2 linked regions of the Rhinolophus ferrumequinum genome follow. The protein of the gene in region 2 binds, or shares a complex with, the protein of the main gene of each other region. Links are inferred from orthologs where the notes say so. Each region holds a gene or a part of one and is shown on either strand. Other genes may lie near its edges.

Evidence for each region. Proteins that work in one complex are often made in the same cells at the same time.
Region 1: SNIP1 (region 2) and RBM48 share a complex: the UniProt entries of both Homo sapiens proteins name them as parts of the minor spliceosome. The link is inferred for Rhinolophus ferrumequinum from reciprocal best matches to the Homo sapiens genes SNIP1 and RBM48.

Annotation. Positions count from the first base shown.
Region 1 is NC_046303.1:33,699,884-33,707,247, reverse strand, and holds the start of RBM48 (RNA-binding protein 48), read left to right. Parts: upstream 1-4,340; 5' UTR 4,341-4,378; coding exon 4,379-4,489; intron 4,490-5,029; coding exon 5,030-5,220; intron 5,221-6,786; coding exon 6,787-6,926; coding exon of another isoform or gene 6,927-6,932; intron 6,933-7,364. Other genes in the region: peroxisomal ATPase PEX1, read right to left, coding at 3,885-4,013. UniProt on the Homo sapiens protein: As a component of the minor spliceosome, involved in the splicing of U12-type introns in pre-mRNAs.
Region 2 is NC_046292.1:26,222,889-26,229,985, forward strand, and holds the start of SNIP1 (smad nuclear-interacting protein 1), read right to left. Parts: upstream 3,101-7,097; 5' UTR 3,017-3,100; coding exon 2,790-3,016; intron 1,310-2,789; coding exon 1,210-1,309; intron 365-1,209; coding exon 1-364. Other genes in the region: DNALI1 (axonemal dynein light intermediate polypeptide 1), read left to right, coding at 3,990-4,070, 4,621-4,766, 6,517-6,686. UniProt on the Homo sapiens protein: Required for pre-mRNA splicing as component of the spliceosome. As a component of the minor spliceosome, involved in the splicing of U12-type introns in pre-mRNAs. Down-regulates NF-kappa-B signaling by competing with RELA for CREBBP/EP300 binding.

The sequences.
Region 1 (7,364 bases), on a different chromosome or scaffold from region 2:
TGATAAAGTAGAAAGAGTCCTAGATTTGGAGTCAAAAGTCCTAAGTTACTATGTCAGGTGTAACTGTGGGAGCCGAGGTCACCAGAGCGAAAGTGCCCACCCCACCCCAGATGCTTTCTACGGCGTTTCATCAGAGGCAGTGACAGTGTCTCTGTTTCACATGAAGAAAATCTTAAAAGTAGAGATGTTAAATAAGGAAATAGGAAATGCGCCTGAAATATCAAAAAGGAGAATTCTTCCAACTCACTGGAAAAGGAGAAAACCAACTTTATTAAACAGAAAAAATACTTCAATGATTCGTTTGGTCAAAATGTAGTAACCAGCTCCATAAATGTCATAAAATATGTTCAGTTAAATTTAGTAAACTTTGCAGAGTGATGTTCTGAGTTCATTTTTATGTCAAAAGTTTTTCACTTGAACCACAGCGCCCTGGGCACTCAGGTAGAGAAGGGACAGACTAGAGAAAGGAGCCCCTATTCCAGGAATTTAATCTAATCAGCAAATGACTGACTACTTGCTGTTGCCCAAACCTTCAGGTGAAATCATAGGTTGCAATGCCTTAGGACTGGCCAGGTCCCAGCCTGGGTTATTTCTAGCTAACACAAAAGAAATGACAATCTGTACCTCTCTGGTCATTTCTGGAAGACAATTCAGTATGCATATGAATCCTTTCCCCCATTTCATCAATCATAGCAAGTCCTGAGCCTGGAGTACAGAAAAAGTAACTAAGTTAAAGGAGTTGTTCTCAACTGGGGGTGATTTTGTCCCCCAGGAGACATATGGCAATGTCTGGAGACATTTTTGGTAGCCACAACTGGGAGGAGGGGTGCTACTGGCATCTAGTAGGTAGAGACCAAGGACACTGCTAAACATCTTCCAGTACCCAGGACAGGCCCCCACAACAAAACATTACCCAGCCTAAAATGTTAAGAAATCCTGAGTTAAAGCACCAACTGGGTATCCAGTCCTGAAACGAGGACTTGGATAAACAAAAGACAATACTTGAAACACAGAAAAGAGCTTAACAAATGAGATGCGTCACATAAACACAGCAGTGAAGTTTTGAAAGTTTTGAAAAGGAGACAAATGTAGGCAACAGAGAATTTGAAAGCTATCTGGAGGAGGTAGGATTATGTTCAGTTTTTAAAGGCGTGGAATGAGGAAAATGTAGGGAAGAACAATAGCATTGAGTAAAAATACAGAAGTGGGAAGTAGCTGGGTTATGAATGAAATAATGAGAAGCCTAGTCTGGATGCCGCAGAGTGACTTATAGACAAGAAGGCAAATTCACTGCATGGAAATGGTACCGCCTAGGAGTCCCAGTCTCCTTCGGTGTAAAAGTACAGAAATGACCTACAGGCATACCTCGTTTTATTGTGCTTAGCTTTATTGTGCTTCACAGATGTTGCATTTTTACAAATAGAAGGCAAGACCCTCCATCCACAAAAAAGATTATAACTCGCTCTTTGGTGAGACTCATTTTATGGCTACACTCGCTTTAGGGCAGTGGGCTGGAACCAAACCCGTAACACCTCCGAGGTATGCCTGGAGATAGACACCTAAGGTCCATTTCACCATCAACATTCTATGATTCTAGAACAGTGGGTCTCAGCACATTTGTGCATCTAAGTAGCCTGGAGTTATTTTAAAAGTTACAGATGTCTACTCCCCAATTTCTGTTTCAGTAGATCTTGGGAAGGACAAGAACACCTGTATTTTTTAAAGCTTCAGGGTAAGTCTGACACAGGCCACAAAACCACCCTCATCCCCTCCCTTACAGTATTATCTGTATTATGCATTCAATGCTTCAGCCCAAATAAAATAATTCAACCTATTAACTCCCAACTCATGACTTTCTGCTTTAATAATAACATATGCCCTCAAACCCAATAATTCTGGGAACCCACCCCAAATAACCAGAAATGAAAATAATGTTTTATAAACAAAGATGTGCTCTTTTTTATTAAAATATAATTATTGTTATCACTTTTAATGTCTAAAAATTAATACAATATAAATGTCCAATCATAGTGAAAAATTATGGCAAATTTATGATAGAATACTAATTAAACACGAAAAATGATGACCTTTAAACAAAATAAAACACTCATAATAATACTATACGAAAATAGCAGGACACAAAACTATATGTGTGTGTAGGACTTCATTTGTGTTAAAAACAATTAAAGATTCGAAACAAAACTGGAAGATTTGATCCAAACTGTTAACATTAGTTATCTCCAGATTTGGGGATTAATGGTAACTTTAATTTTCTGGGTTATAATTTTCCATGCCTCCTAAATTTTCTATAAAACACATATATTACTTTTATAATCGGGGAGAAAAGTTGTCCTGTTCTGCTGATATAAGTTAAACAGAAACAACAATTCGTTCCAAGGCCGAAGAGATTTAAATTTCAAAAAGATATCCATGAATTAATTCTTATGAATATTTATTGAAAGCTCAAAGTTTAAAATAAAGACAAGACTGCTAAATTCTTAAACACTGATGAATTGAACATAGCATCTACATCTTAGGGCCACATTATTAGTTACTATAAGCAGTATTCCTACACACTCATTAGGTGGGGATTTGAAAGCAGCTGAAAAACTCCACCAAATCTCACTGAGAGCACAGGGCAGGGCCTGCCTAGACTTAGTGATGAACTCTTCTCCAGCCATGAAAGAAGCTCGTAGGGACCAAAAGATTGTCTGCTAAAAGAAATAATGGAAGGATCTGCTGAATTTGGTAAGCTTTGAAAGATAGTGGAGGGAAATAATCTAGAAAAATAGTTACTGAGAAGCAGCTAAAGTGTAAAGGTGCGATACTTGAAATTATTGCAAACTCTCTAAGTATTTCCTGCTTGGATTAGCCAGTGGTGAGTACCACACGTCCAGGATTTTCCAGGATTTCAAATACAGGCACACCTCGTTTTATTGTGCTTCCCTTTATTGCTCTTCACAGATGGTGCGTTCTTTACAAATTGAAAGCAAGACCCTCTATCAGCAAAAAGATTACCAGTGGCTTTATTGCCATACTCATTTTCTTGCAGTGGTATTGAACCGAACCCACAGTATCTCCAAGGTGTGCCTGTATTCTAGCCTTTTGCCTCCCTAAGCACACTCAAACTCCTAGACCAGGTGCCTCTATTTTTAATTATGAAAGGAGGGATGTCATATCTCAGGCAACTGTTAAAGCCATGAACCACAATACTAAATCTAGAAGGGCTAATGACAACAGAGGTTCAAGAATCCTAACTACAGATATCCAAGTATGCACAATCCACTGCACGTTCCTGGCACACCTTGGAGGTGCTCCCAGCGTCCGCCCGTGACTGCAGAGAAGAACCTTTAACCTATCCCGCTGGTGGGACACGGGCTCAGTCCCTGTTAACGCACAGGGACTCCGCAAACCAAGTCTGCTCCTTCTGCTGGAGGCCGGGACCACAGCCGCTCAGGGACCTGGAAATCGCCGTCGGGAAGAACATTCTTAAAAAACAAAAATAACAACAAAAGCCCTTCTGAAGGGTTTTCTAACCTGGAATGAGGAATATCTGAATGTAGAGGTAGAATACTAAGATGTTTGAAAGCTCAGTTTCACCGAATGAAAAGCCCAGGGATAAGGCCAGTTAACTAAAAGGCCCGGGCTGCACTAGACGTGGTGTGGAGTGCACAGACTGCCCTGACCGGCCCTGACCTCGAAGGGCCCTCAGTTTGGCCACTACACCGCTCGGCGGCACCGGGAAAGCAACCCGTACCCGGTCGTCGGATGAGGCCTTGAGCGGCTGCCGCGTCCCTGGAAGGCCTCGGTCGGGTCCGACCCCAGACTACACACCAGGTGTCCCGAGTCCGGGCTGGGAGACCCTGTCGGAGCCAGCGCTTTACCTGCAGCAGGTGCAGCTGGGACACGAGGCGCCGTGGCAAGTGCAGGAAGCAGTCACGAGCGTTGGTGAAGGCCACAGTCACTGCCGCCCCACCTCCCCCGGCACCCGCCAGGCGTTCGCTGCCCCACATTGTCGGGCAACACCGATCCCCCGACCGCCAACCCTAGCGGACCCGGCCAACCCGGCAGGCCCAGAGCGTCCGACCCGGATAAAATCGATCGGTCCCTCCCCCCTCGTCCCCTGGCCCCTTGCCCAGCGGCGCGTCTCACCGCTCACGAGTAGGGGGAGGAGCAAGCAGCCTTCTCCCGCTCTCTGGGCCTATCCGCCGCGCCGCTGGGGGGCGGCACCTCGTTCACCGAATCATCGCTTGCAGGAAACAATGGTCAATTCCTCAGCCAATCCCGGCACGTCTTGACTCATCCCTCTCTCTTATTGGACAAACAGAAGGGCAGCCAGGCGGATGTTGTCGTCTCTGTGAGGGCCAAAGTCGGCAAGATGGCGTCGAGTGGTGGGGAGCTGGGGACCTTATTCGACCACCACGTCCAAAAGGCTATATGCGACACGCGGGCCAAATATCGGGAGGGGCGACGGCCTCGTGCTGTCAAGGTAAAATGATTTTGGTTTCATTCGGCAAGTTCAGTCGTTTTATGTGAGCTCTAGTTTCACATGCCCAGCCTACGTAAATAAAGGCTTGAAAGACTGAGGTTGTATCCCTTACTCATCGGAGATGGGTGTTAGGAAGCCTGGTACTCAGGTACCACAAGATTCCACGACCTCTTCGGTCGGCTGCTAGAACGTCAGCTCTGCGAAACAGGGCTTTGTTTTAGTCATTGGGTCTTCCGTGTTTATGATAGTGCTTGGCTCACGGTAAGCTCTCAATGAATATTTGTTAACTCCAGTAACTTTTACCGAGCCAGCTTCTGGAAAACATGTCAGTTAAGGTAGTCTGTTTTAGGTTTTAATTAGAGGCCCTCACACGTGGGGTGAATTTTTCGTTATGCAGAGAGAGGTGCACATTTTTTGATGTTCTGTGTTCTGCAGACCAGTGGAACAGAATATTTCTTGCTTTTAAAGCTTTTATTTTTTAAGTAGATTTGTCCTAGGTTTATTTATGAAATACGTTTAATGTGTCTGCATTTCTTTTAGGTATATACAATTAATTTGGAATCTCGGTACTTATTAATACAAGGAGTTCCTGCAGTGGGAGCAATGAAGGAATTAGTTGAGCGATTTGCTCTGTATGGAGCAATTGAACAGTATAATGCTCTAGATGAATACCCAGCAGAAGACTTTACAGAAGTTTACCTTATTAAATTTGTGAATTTACAAAGTGCAAGGTAATATGCAAGTTAAGCAGTGTCTTATCTTTTTCATTCCCGTTGCTATTATTTTGTACCCAGTTGTCTGCCATTCATACCTGAATTACCCAATAACAACATAGTCCTGTATTATTCTTGTCTTCTTCCAGTGTTTTTAAATGTTAGCCTTACCAAAACACATTCCATCATATCATTCCCGTGCTTAACAGTTTTCTGTCATACAGTGTTGTAAATTAAAAATTGACTTTGGAGTAAGTTTTCAAGTTCTACAGCTTACTAGCATCACGACCTAGGACAAGTTATTTAACCCTGTTAAGCCTGTTTTTCCTATTCTGTAAAATCCATATGGTAGAAGGACCTACTTAAGTGAGGTTGTGTGAGGATGAAGTGAGATAATCCATATAAAGGACTTAGTGTGGTGCCTCCTGTTCAGAATGCAGTAAACATTGATTATTGAAGTTCTTATTATGCACCTGCGTAAATTGACGCCATCTTTTCCACTTTCTATACAACAATTCTGTTCCAATAAGGCTGAAATACGAAAGGCTTTATCTACTTTTATGCTGACCCTTACTAATTTGCTCCATGACCCATCCTTCCCTGGCTATTACAATTCATATTTTGTGTGCCACGAATAGCACATGTAGTCTACCATTAAAGCACTTGATTTTATGGGGTCATGTATTGTTCTCAGGTTGCTCTTCTATGTAATATCACTTCCCTATCCAACTTGCCAGCTCCTCATGGTGAGGGGAGCATATTTTCTAGAGCTTTTGCATTTTTTACAGCACCTAGTACAGTAGGGCTTGGCGTTTGACATCTGGATTTGCATCCTAGCTCCACAAACCAACGTGAGCATGGCTCAGTTATAAATGTCCCCAGGCCTCATTTTCATCATAGAGTTGTTGTGAAGTGTTAATTCAAGTGAAGTGCTTAGGACACTGCCTAGTACTTAGTAAAACCTCATATAATGATAAGTAGTTCTTATCATTATACCTGGTCTCAGAAGTACTTAACTATTTATTGTAGTAATGCCTGACCGGTCATAGATATTTAAGTATTTATTGAATGAATACTGTCTTCTCATTTTCTCATTGAATAGTTGTTATATATTCAGTATTGCCTCAATTATTGTAGGTTTTACAATTATTAATTTTTTCATATATGAATCCCATTATAGGAACACATTGTGCTGAAAAGGCTACATTGGGTATGAACTAACTCTCAAGGGCCATTTAACTTACCATAGAGAAAATCTCTATTTCGTGACCCCAGATTGTACACCTTAGGCTACCCAGCTGGATCCTAAGTTGGTTAAAGGGAGTCTGTATATGTGTGGATCACTTAGCTCAAAACCTATTAATACAGTTTGGAGAGGGGAGTCAATGTTCTAACAGAATGCACTGGATCAGTAAGGTCGATAGCATTCACAAGCACAGCATCTTAATTCCCAAACCACAGGATGTACATGCACATAGCAAAAGCTGGACTTTGCTCTATAGATCAATGCATTGTATACTAGTCAAGCTTTCGTCCTAAGTAAATCTAGATTGATAAACCATGCTATCATGTATTTCTGTTCAGGACAGCCAAGAGAAAAATGGATGAACAGAGTTTCTTTGGTGGATTGCTTCATGTGTGCTATGCTCCAGAATTTGAGACAGTTGAAGAAACTAGAAAAAAATTACAAGAGAGGAAGGCTTATATAGCAAGAATTACTAAAAATAAAGGTATGGAAAGCCTGTTACTAAACACAACTATGTGTCATTCATTCTGCTAGGTATATCATCATGGAGCTCCCAGTCTCGTGGAAAGGGAGACAAGTAAATGATCACAATATTCAATAACTATAAACTATAGGGTTCTGTGTAGCACTCTTTCTGGACTGAGAAGGGAGAGATGCTGGTTTGCGGAAAACTTCCTACAGGATGAGAGAGGTTTACCCAGATAGCATCTTTAAGGATAAGTAGACGTTACCCAGATAGCATCTTTAAGGATAAGTAGACGTTACCCAGATAGCATCTTTAAAGGCTCAGAGGAATAAATGAGCATCATGTATTTTAAGGAACTGTGACTAGAACAGGGTAACCACAAAACAGAGACTTCAGAGATAAGATTAAGAAAAGACAGGAAGTGAATCATGAAGGGCCTGTGTCACATGC
Region 2 (7,097 bases):
CAGAAAGTTCAAAGCTTGGCTTTTCCTTCGCGGGCACCTCTTTATCTTTGTTGTTGCCACCAGTTCGAGGAACCAGCTCCTGAGACTCATTACTGCTGGCAGTAACTTCATTCTTCTGGCGATGCTCCCGCCGTCGGGCGTTATAAAACTCCCGCTCTGCTTCCTGAGGCTGTAGGTTCTGAAGGTTTCGGTCCCGGCCCTGAGCCTGCCCACTCCCAGGCCTCTCGTTAGACGTTAGCCTCTGGTGGGAATGGCCCCTGTGCCTGTCTCGGTCACTGTTCCTGGCTCGCCTGTGTTCCTGTCCTGATGCTTCCCGGTGCTGCCGATCCTCCCGTCCTCTCCGGGGAGGATGATCCTCCCGTTCCTGAAATTCAAACCCATTCAGGAAATCAAAGGCAGTTCACAGCCTATGAACAAGCCGCATTCAAAAGGAATGTGATTTGGGCTTTGGCCTTCAAGAGCAAAATGTCGCCCAGAAATAAGGTTATCAGTGGTGGTGATGTACCTGTCCAAGGTCACACTGTGTACCCCATGCTGAAGCCCAGCTATAGCTCTAACAGTGCAAGCCCATGTTCAGTGCCCTAGAAACAAGAGCACCTGCAGGCAAACTTATAGGGGAGCATATACAGAAGAGAGAGCTAACAGAGAGTCATGTACAAGATAAATACGTAAAGAAAAACAAGCTAGCTTTCTCTTATGCCAAAAATGAAAATGTAATAGTAATTTTAAATTATTTCAACAGTAACAAAAGTCATTTCATACCCAGGAATACACTTAAGAAATATGTAAGATCTGATGTGACAAAATTATAGAAATGGACAACAGAAGTTGCCAATTGAGGGGTATAAGTGGGAAAGTAGTGGGTGTGACTGTAAAAGGACAACAAAGGATCCTGTGGTGGTGATGAAAATGTTTTATATCTTGACAGCGTTGATGTCAATATTCTGGTTGTGATATTGCACTCTAATTCTGTACAATACTCATTGGGAGAAACAGGATACAGACTATACGCCATTATTACTTTTACAGCTGTATGTGAATTAATAATTATTTCAAAATAAAAAGTTTAACAAGACAAGCAGAAAAACCCCCACCCAGTTTTGAGAAAAGCCCATTGCAGGTACAGGTGAACACACACACAACACTCCAGCTATGACGGAAAGAGGCTCCAGATTTGGACCCAGTATCACAATAGCTCAATCCACTTACCAGCTTCACTTTGACTGTTGAGTGGTGAGGACTTCGGCTTCTGTTACTTCGAGGAGACTTGCTTCTTCTCCCTGAGGACTTTTTCTTTTTGGCTGGGGATCTTAAGAGAATGAGACACACAGGATTTTATCTCAATGTCCCTTCCCCATATAAATTACCTTCCGATATCAGGCTTACTACTACACAAATACCACATTTTTGAAGGTCTCTGCTTTTCACACTGTAGGAGTTAGGAGCTTCACTTTCCTAGCCCTAACCTCTCCCAAGTTCCAGACCCACAGACATAACCGCTTACCAAACCCTCTCACTTACCATGTTTCCCTGAAAATAAGACCTAGCTGGACAATCAGCTCTAATGCGTCTTTTGGAGCAAAAATTAATATACCCGGTATTACATTATATTATTATATTAATTATACTATATTATAATACCTGGTCTCATATTATAGTAAAATAAGACTGGTCTTATATTAATTTTTGCTCCAAAAGATGCATTAGAGTTGATTGTCCGGCTAGATCTTATTTTCGGGGAAACACGGTATATATGTAACATAACTCTTGATTACCAACCCTTCAAAAACCTTTCCTTTTTGCCATCTCAGTAAATAGCATCACCATCCACCCCGCTACTCAAGCCAAAAACAAGAAGTCAACCTTGATTCTTTTTTTTCTCACCACCAACAGCTTCCCACACCCGTCCCTGCAATCACATTCAATCCATCAACAAGTCCTCTGGCTCTGTCTCCTCTCTCTCCCACCTCATTCCAACCACTCTCCTTGATCGCTACACTGGATTTTTTTCTATTCCTAGAACAATCACAATTAATTCCACTTCAGGTTCTTGGCACCTATTGTCTTCTCTGCCTGGATCTTCCCAAGGCTGGATTACGGATTAGTCTTACTCAGGTCTCAGCGCAAATGGCACCTTTTCAGAGCTGCCTTCTCCCACTTCCCTCCAATCTCTATCGCATTACTGTTTTAATCTATCCCTAATACTTGTTACTAACTAAAACTATTTTCTTCATTTGCTAGTTATTTTGTCTCAGGGCTAGAGCATGTTAATTCTGAGAAGGTAATGACCATCTACCTTGTTCACCCTTGTGGCCCCAGTACCTAGGGCACATAATAGGTACTCAGTAAAACTATGTTGAATGAATAAATGAAGGAGTCTAGCAAGAGACTTTTTCCCCCCAGAAGTTCTATCAGGTAGATCTCCTAGGCCTTCCATACGGAAATCTTTGGGGCCAGGTTAAATGTAAAGACAACACTCGCACTCCATGTGCAGGCAGGTGGGGAAAACCTTTCATTTCAACTTAAACGATCCGCTGGCTCATACTCGGCGAAGCGCTGAGCACACAGAGATGAAAGGGCAGGATCCCGTCCATTGGGTGCTTAACACCCAGCTACAACACAGGTTGACAGGTAAACAGTAACACAAGCACCACCCCGATCTCTTTCACACCTTAGAATTAAGTGCAAGCCGCTGCGCTCAGCGTTCAAGGTGTGTTTCTGACGCTAGCTCGGTCCCCCTTTCTCAACGAGCCCGACCTAAGGTCCACTCCAGGCTGCTTCCCACTTACCGACTACGTGCTCGGGCTCGGTTCCCGCGGTGACCAGGACGTCCCGGCTCGCCGGCCGGTGGGGACGCACTACCGCCGGAGGAGTCCGGACGGCGGTGGACGGGAGGAGCGGCCTCCGGGCTGAGGCGCTCCTGCTTCACCACCACCGCCGCCGTCGCCGCCACTATGTCCTCGTCCCGGTGCTTTCGCCGGTTCCCCCTCTCTCGCTCGCTCTTCACGTCCTTCATGCTGAGATATCCGAGGAGCGTAGGAAAAACTACGTCCGTTGCACTGCTCTCGCTAAAGGAAATGACGGGCTAGACGCCTGGACTTCCGCTTCTGCGGTGTACGCTCTCCCAGAAACCCTCGCGAGGGAGAAGCCAAACACGTGACAAGGACGCTCTTGTGGGCGGGGCTGTAGTGAGGCGACTCGGGTGGCGGGAGTTTTGTTTCCAAAGCCAACCTCTCGGAAAAAGCTAGTCTCGAGGCTATTTGTCGTCGCATCATTAGTAATTATTAAACACGGTGACCACCTAAATGCCCATCAGTAGGGAGTTGTTTAGCCAATTGATGGATGTTATATTGCCACTCACAATGCTATTTACAAACTCTATATGACAAAAGGAAAAAACCCTGACTTGTTAAACGACAGAAGCGGGATACAAAATTGTGCGCAAACTGTGCTTACATTTACGTTTGGAAATACGAAGGAAATGAAATCATATATGGTAGCCCGTGGGCAAATCATTAGTATTTTCCCCTCTAGTTTTGAACTTTCTGTTACGTTGTCATTTCTCCATTTAATTAGAAACAAATACTTTTTAAAACCTGAGAACTACAGATGTCTTCTGGGAACCTTCCCCAATCCTTCACTGAGAAGTCAGATGACTTCCACCTTTGCAGGTAAGAAAATTGGGGATCAGCAAAGGAGACCTGCCACCTCATTCAGGTTGAGAGCTACACGTGGCGCAGGAACCGAAACCCCTGTTTTTCTTTCTCCCAAGAGTGCCGGAGCGATTCGGTGAGCAGGAGGCCTGACGAGCTAACCGCAGAACTTTTCGTGAAAGCCATGCAGAAAAAAAATGGAGCTCTGCTGGCCCCGCCCAACTTCGAAGCCCCGCCCAGGCCGTGAGACTGGGAGAGGAGGTTTCCATGGTGACGGTAAACAAGGCCCAGCCTGGAGGGGCCGCTGCTGGGCTGCTTACTACTCCAGTTGCCGCCATGATCCCTCCCGCGGACTCTCTGCTCAAGTATGACACCCCGGTGCTGGTGAGCCGGAACACGGAGAAACGGAGCCCCAAAGTAAGGACGAATCTCAGGGGACGCGGGAGCCTGGTAGCTCTGATGGGGAAATGACAGATTCTAGCCTACAGGATAGGGAGTCCAGAGGGACAGAGGCTGAAACGACTGGGAGTGAAGGGAACTGGGATGGGTGAAGGATGGGTGAGGGAGAGAGGTACAAGAAGCCCAAATGTTGGGCGACTCCAGAGGGCAGATTTAGAATGGGGAAGTCACAGGGAGATGAATGGGGTTCACTCTTTTTCATGGTAGCCGGGTCCAAGAATAGATCTGGTAGTGATTGCCCCATTACTAGAGGTGTGAAAGCAGAGGCCCGAGCACCGTGCCAGAAACATCTGTTCAAGGAGATACAAGCATTGGGTTGGGGTGAGACCAGAGACTCTACACCGCCTCCTGCAGCTCTGAGACATAACTTCTGTTGAGAAGACAAATGGGAAAATGAGCTGGGAATAGGGGAGGGGTGTGCTGGAGACCTGGAGCAATCCAGAGTGCCAGGACCTGCGGAGCTCAGTGTCTGAATCACCTCCTGTCTTAACTTGTTCCTTCTTCTCAGGCTCGGCCACTGAAAATCAGCCCCCAGCAACCTGGACCCTCAGGTCCAGTCCCACAACCACCAAAGACCAAGCTCCCCACAACTTCCTGTATCCCAGATCCTACAAAGCAAGCAGAAGAAATCTTGAATGCCATCCTGCCTCCAAGGTAAAAAAGGAGGAACAGTGGCTGGGAGAAGGCCCAGGCTTTTCCACCCCTGAACATGGGACTGTGGAAAGAGGAACCCTGTCTCTGTTCCTGGTTGGAATTTCCTCCCACCATCCTAGAGCTCCTGGTGCTTGCAGGTGGCTGGATCTTGGAAGGGTGGTGGGGAGATCTCAATCTGCCCTCACTTCCTGAGTGCTCTCACTCAGGCTCGTGGCTTTAACTACCATCTATATGCTGATGGCTCCCAAATGTGTATTTCCAGCTCTGCCCTCTCCCCTAAACTCCATATATTCTACTACAACCTCATTACCTCCATGAAGATGCTAGTAGATATCTCAAACTCAACGTGTCCAGACGTAATCACAATTTCTTCTTCCCCCAACCTGCTCATTCCCAGTCTTCTCCTTTCTACTAGAGGCTCAGGTCACCTCTCATTCCTTTCGGTCTTTTACATTACAATGTCCTATCCTTCATCAAGTTCCTTTGGCTCCACAAATCTGACCACTTCACCACTTCTACTTCTACCGTCTTGTTCCTAGTCATTGTTAGTCACCTGCACTACTGCAGAGGCCTTCCTATCTGAAAACCCGGCTCCACTCTGCCCCTACAATCTATTCTTAGCACAGTCCCGAAATCATAAGGCAGATCACGCCAGGCGTCTGCCAGAAACTCCTTAATGGCTCCCCATCTCACTCAGACTGAGACCCAGAGTCCTTACCGTGACCTGGAAGACCTCGCGTGATCTGGCCCCTGATGTACCCATGATCTTATCTCTTATTCTCCTTCTGTTCACGGTGCTAATGCCACAGGGGCCTCGGCTCAGTGTCTCTGAAACACTTCACTCTTCCACCTCAGGGCCTTGACAACTGCTGTTCTTCTCACTGCCAAAGATACTCTCCACATGATAGCCACCTGGTTGCCTTCTTTCTTCACTCAGGTCTTGCTCAAATGTCGTTTCCTCACGGAGGCCTTCCTTGAGAATTCTTATAAAAGAGTACCTTCTCTCTTCTTCTTTACTCGGCTTCTTTTTTCTGTAGCCTCATTTATCACTATCTGACATGTTTTTCTACTATTTTTACGTAATAAGTTGACAGTTTTTTTTGTTTTTTTGTTTATTTGATTTTTAAGTCTATGATGAAAAGAGACTGCAATCTCCTCAGAGATAGAAGTCAAAGAAGGGGGAGGGGGTGATTTCTCAGTAAATTACTTCCCAGCAAGCAATGCATGAAAGTCCTCTCCCCCATGGTGGTTCTGCCCTTGGGCTCCCCCCTTAGGATTCCAGAATGGGGCCATGCCTCTTGACACGAGGTTTAGTATAGGGAGGGCTACATGCCTTCAAGAATTTCTCCATTCCCCAATCCACACGTTGGCCTCTTTCTGACTGGCACAAGGTTTATGGTGCCCCGTGTCTCCCACCCCACAAATCAGGGGGCAGTTCCTTCTGGGCCTTCTGTTCAGATTAAGCAACAACCACCAATTTGCCCTCTACACATTAGGAGGGTAAGATCTGGAACATGGGTGATGATTTCACAGTGGGAGAGTAGAGATTGCCCAGCCCCAAGGTAGGGGACCTGTGGAGGCAGCTTAATGGACATGGCTTTGGAGCCACACATTCCCCAAGGAAGAAAGGGGGACAGAGTTGCCCTTCACTCCTGCTCAGGCAGAGAGCTCAAACGGCCATCTCACTCGTGTCCTGAGGACCGTCTCTGGTCAATGGGTTTCGCTCAGCCTGGCTGTGTCTGTGCCACAGGGAGTGGGTAGAAGACACGCAGCTATGGATCCAGCAGGTGTCCAGCACCCCCAGCACCAGGATGGATGTCGTACATCTCCAGGAGCAGCTGGACCTGAAGCTGCAACAGCGGCAGGCCAGGGAGACTGGCATATGCCCTGTCCGCAGGGAGCTTTACTCGCAGTGTTTTGGTGAGTGGCCTGAGGACTGGGGGAGGGTACACTACATTCTGCTGTCTCCTTCCCTTCCCCTCCAGCACAGCCCCATGCCCTGAGGATCCCCGAGCTGAAGCTCCCCCATACGACAAAGCAAGGATGAAAATCTGTCTTTCTACCTGCCCCACCCAGGAACTGCTAAATACACCCTCTTCCCCCTCCCAGCCCCGCCTCTCCTACCCACTTGCCAGTCAACCTGGTTCCTGACAACCTGGTGCCTCACCTCTTAGCAGATGTTTGGAGTAAATGAGAACTTCCATTTTAAGTCTTTGTTTTTTCAAAGATTTCTATAATAAGTATGTATTAATTTTTTTCATCAGAAAGTTTTACGTTCTATATTTATATCCATCCATCAACATTCAGCCTTTGGTCCAGAAAAATATTTCA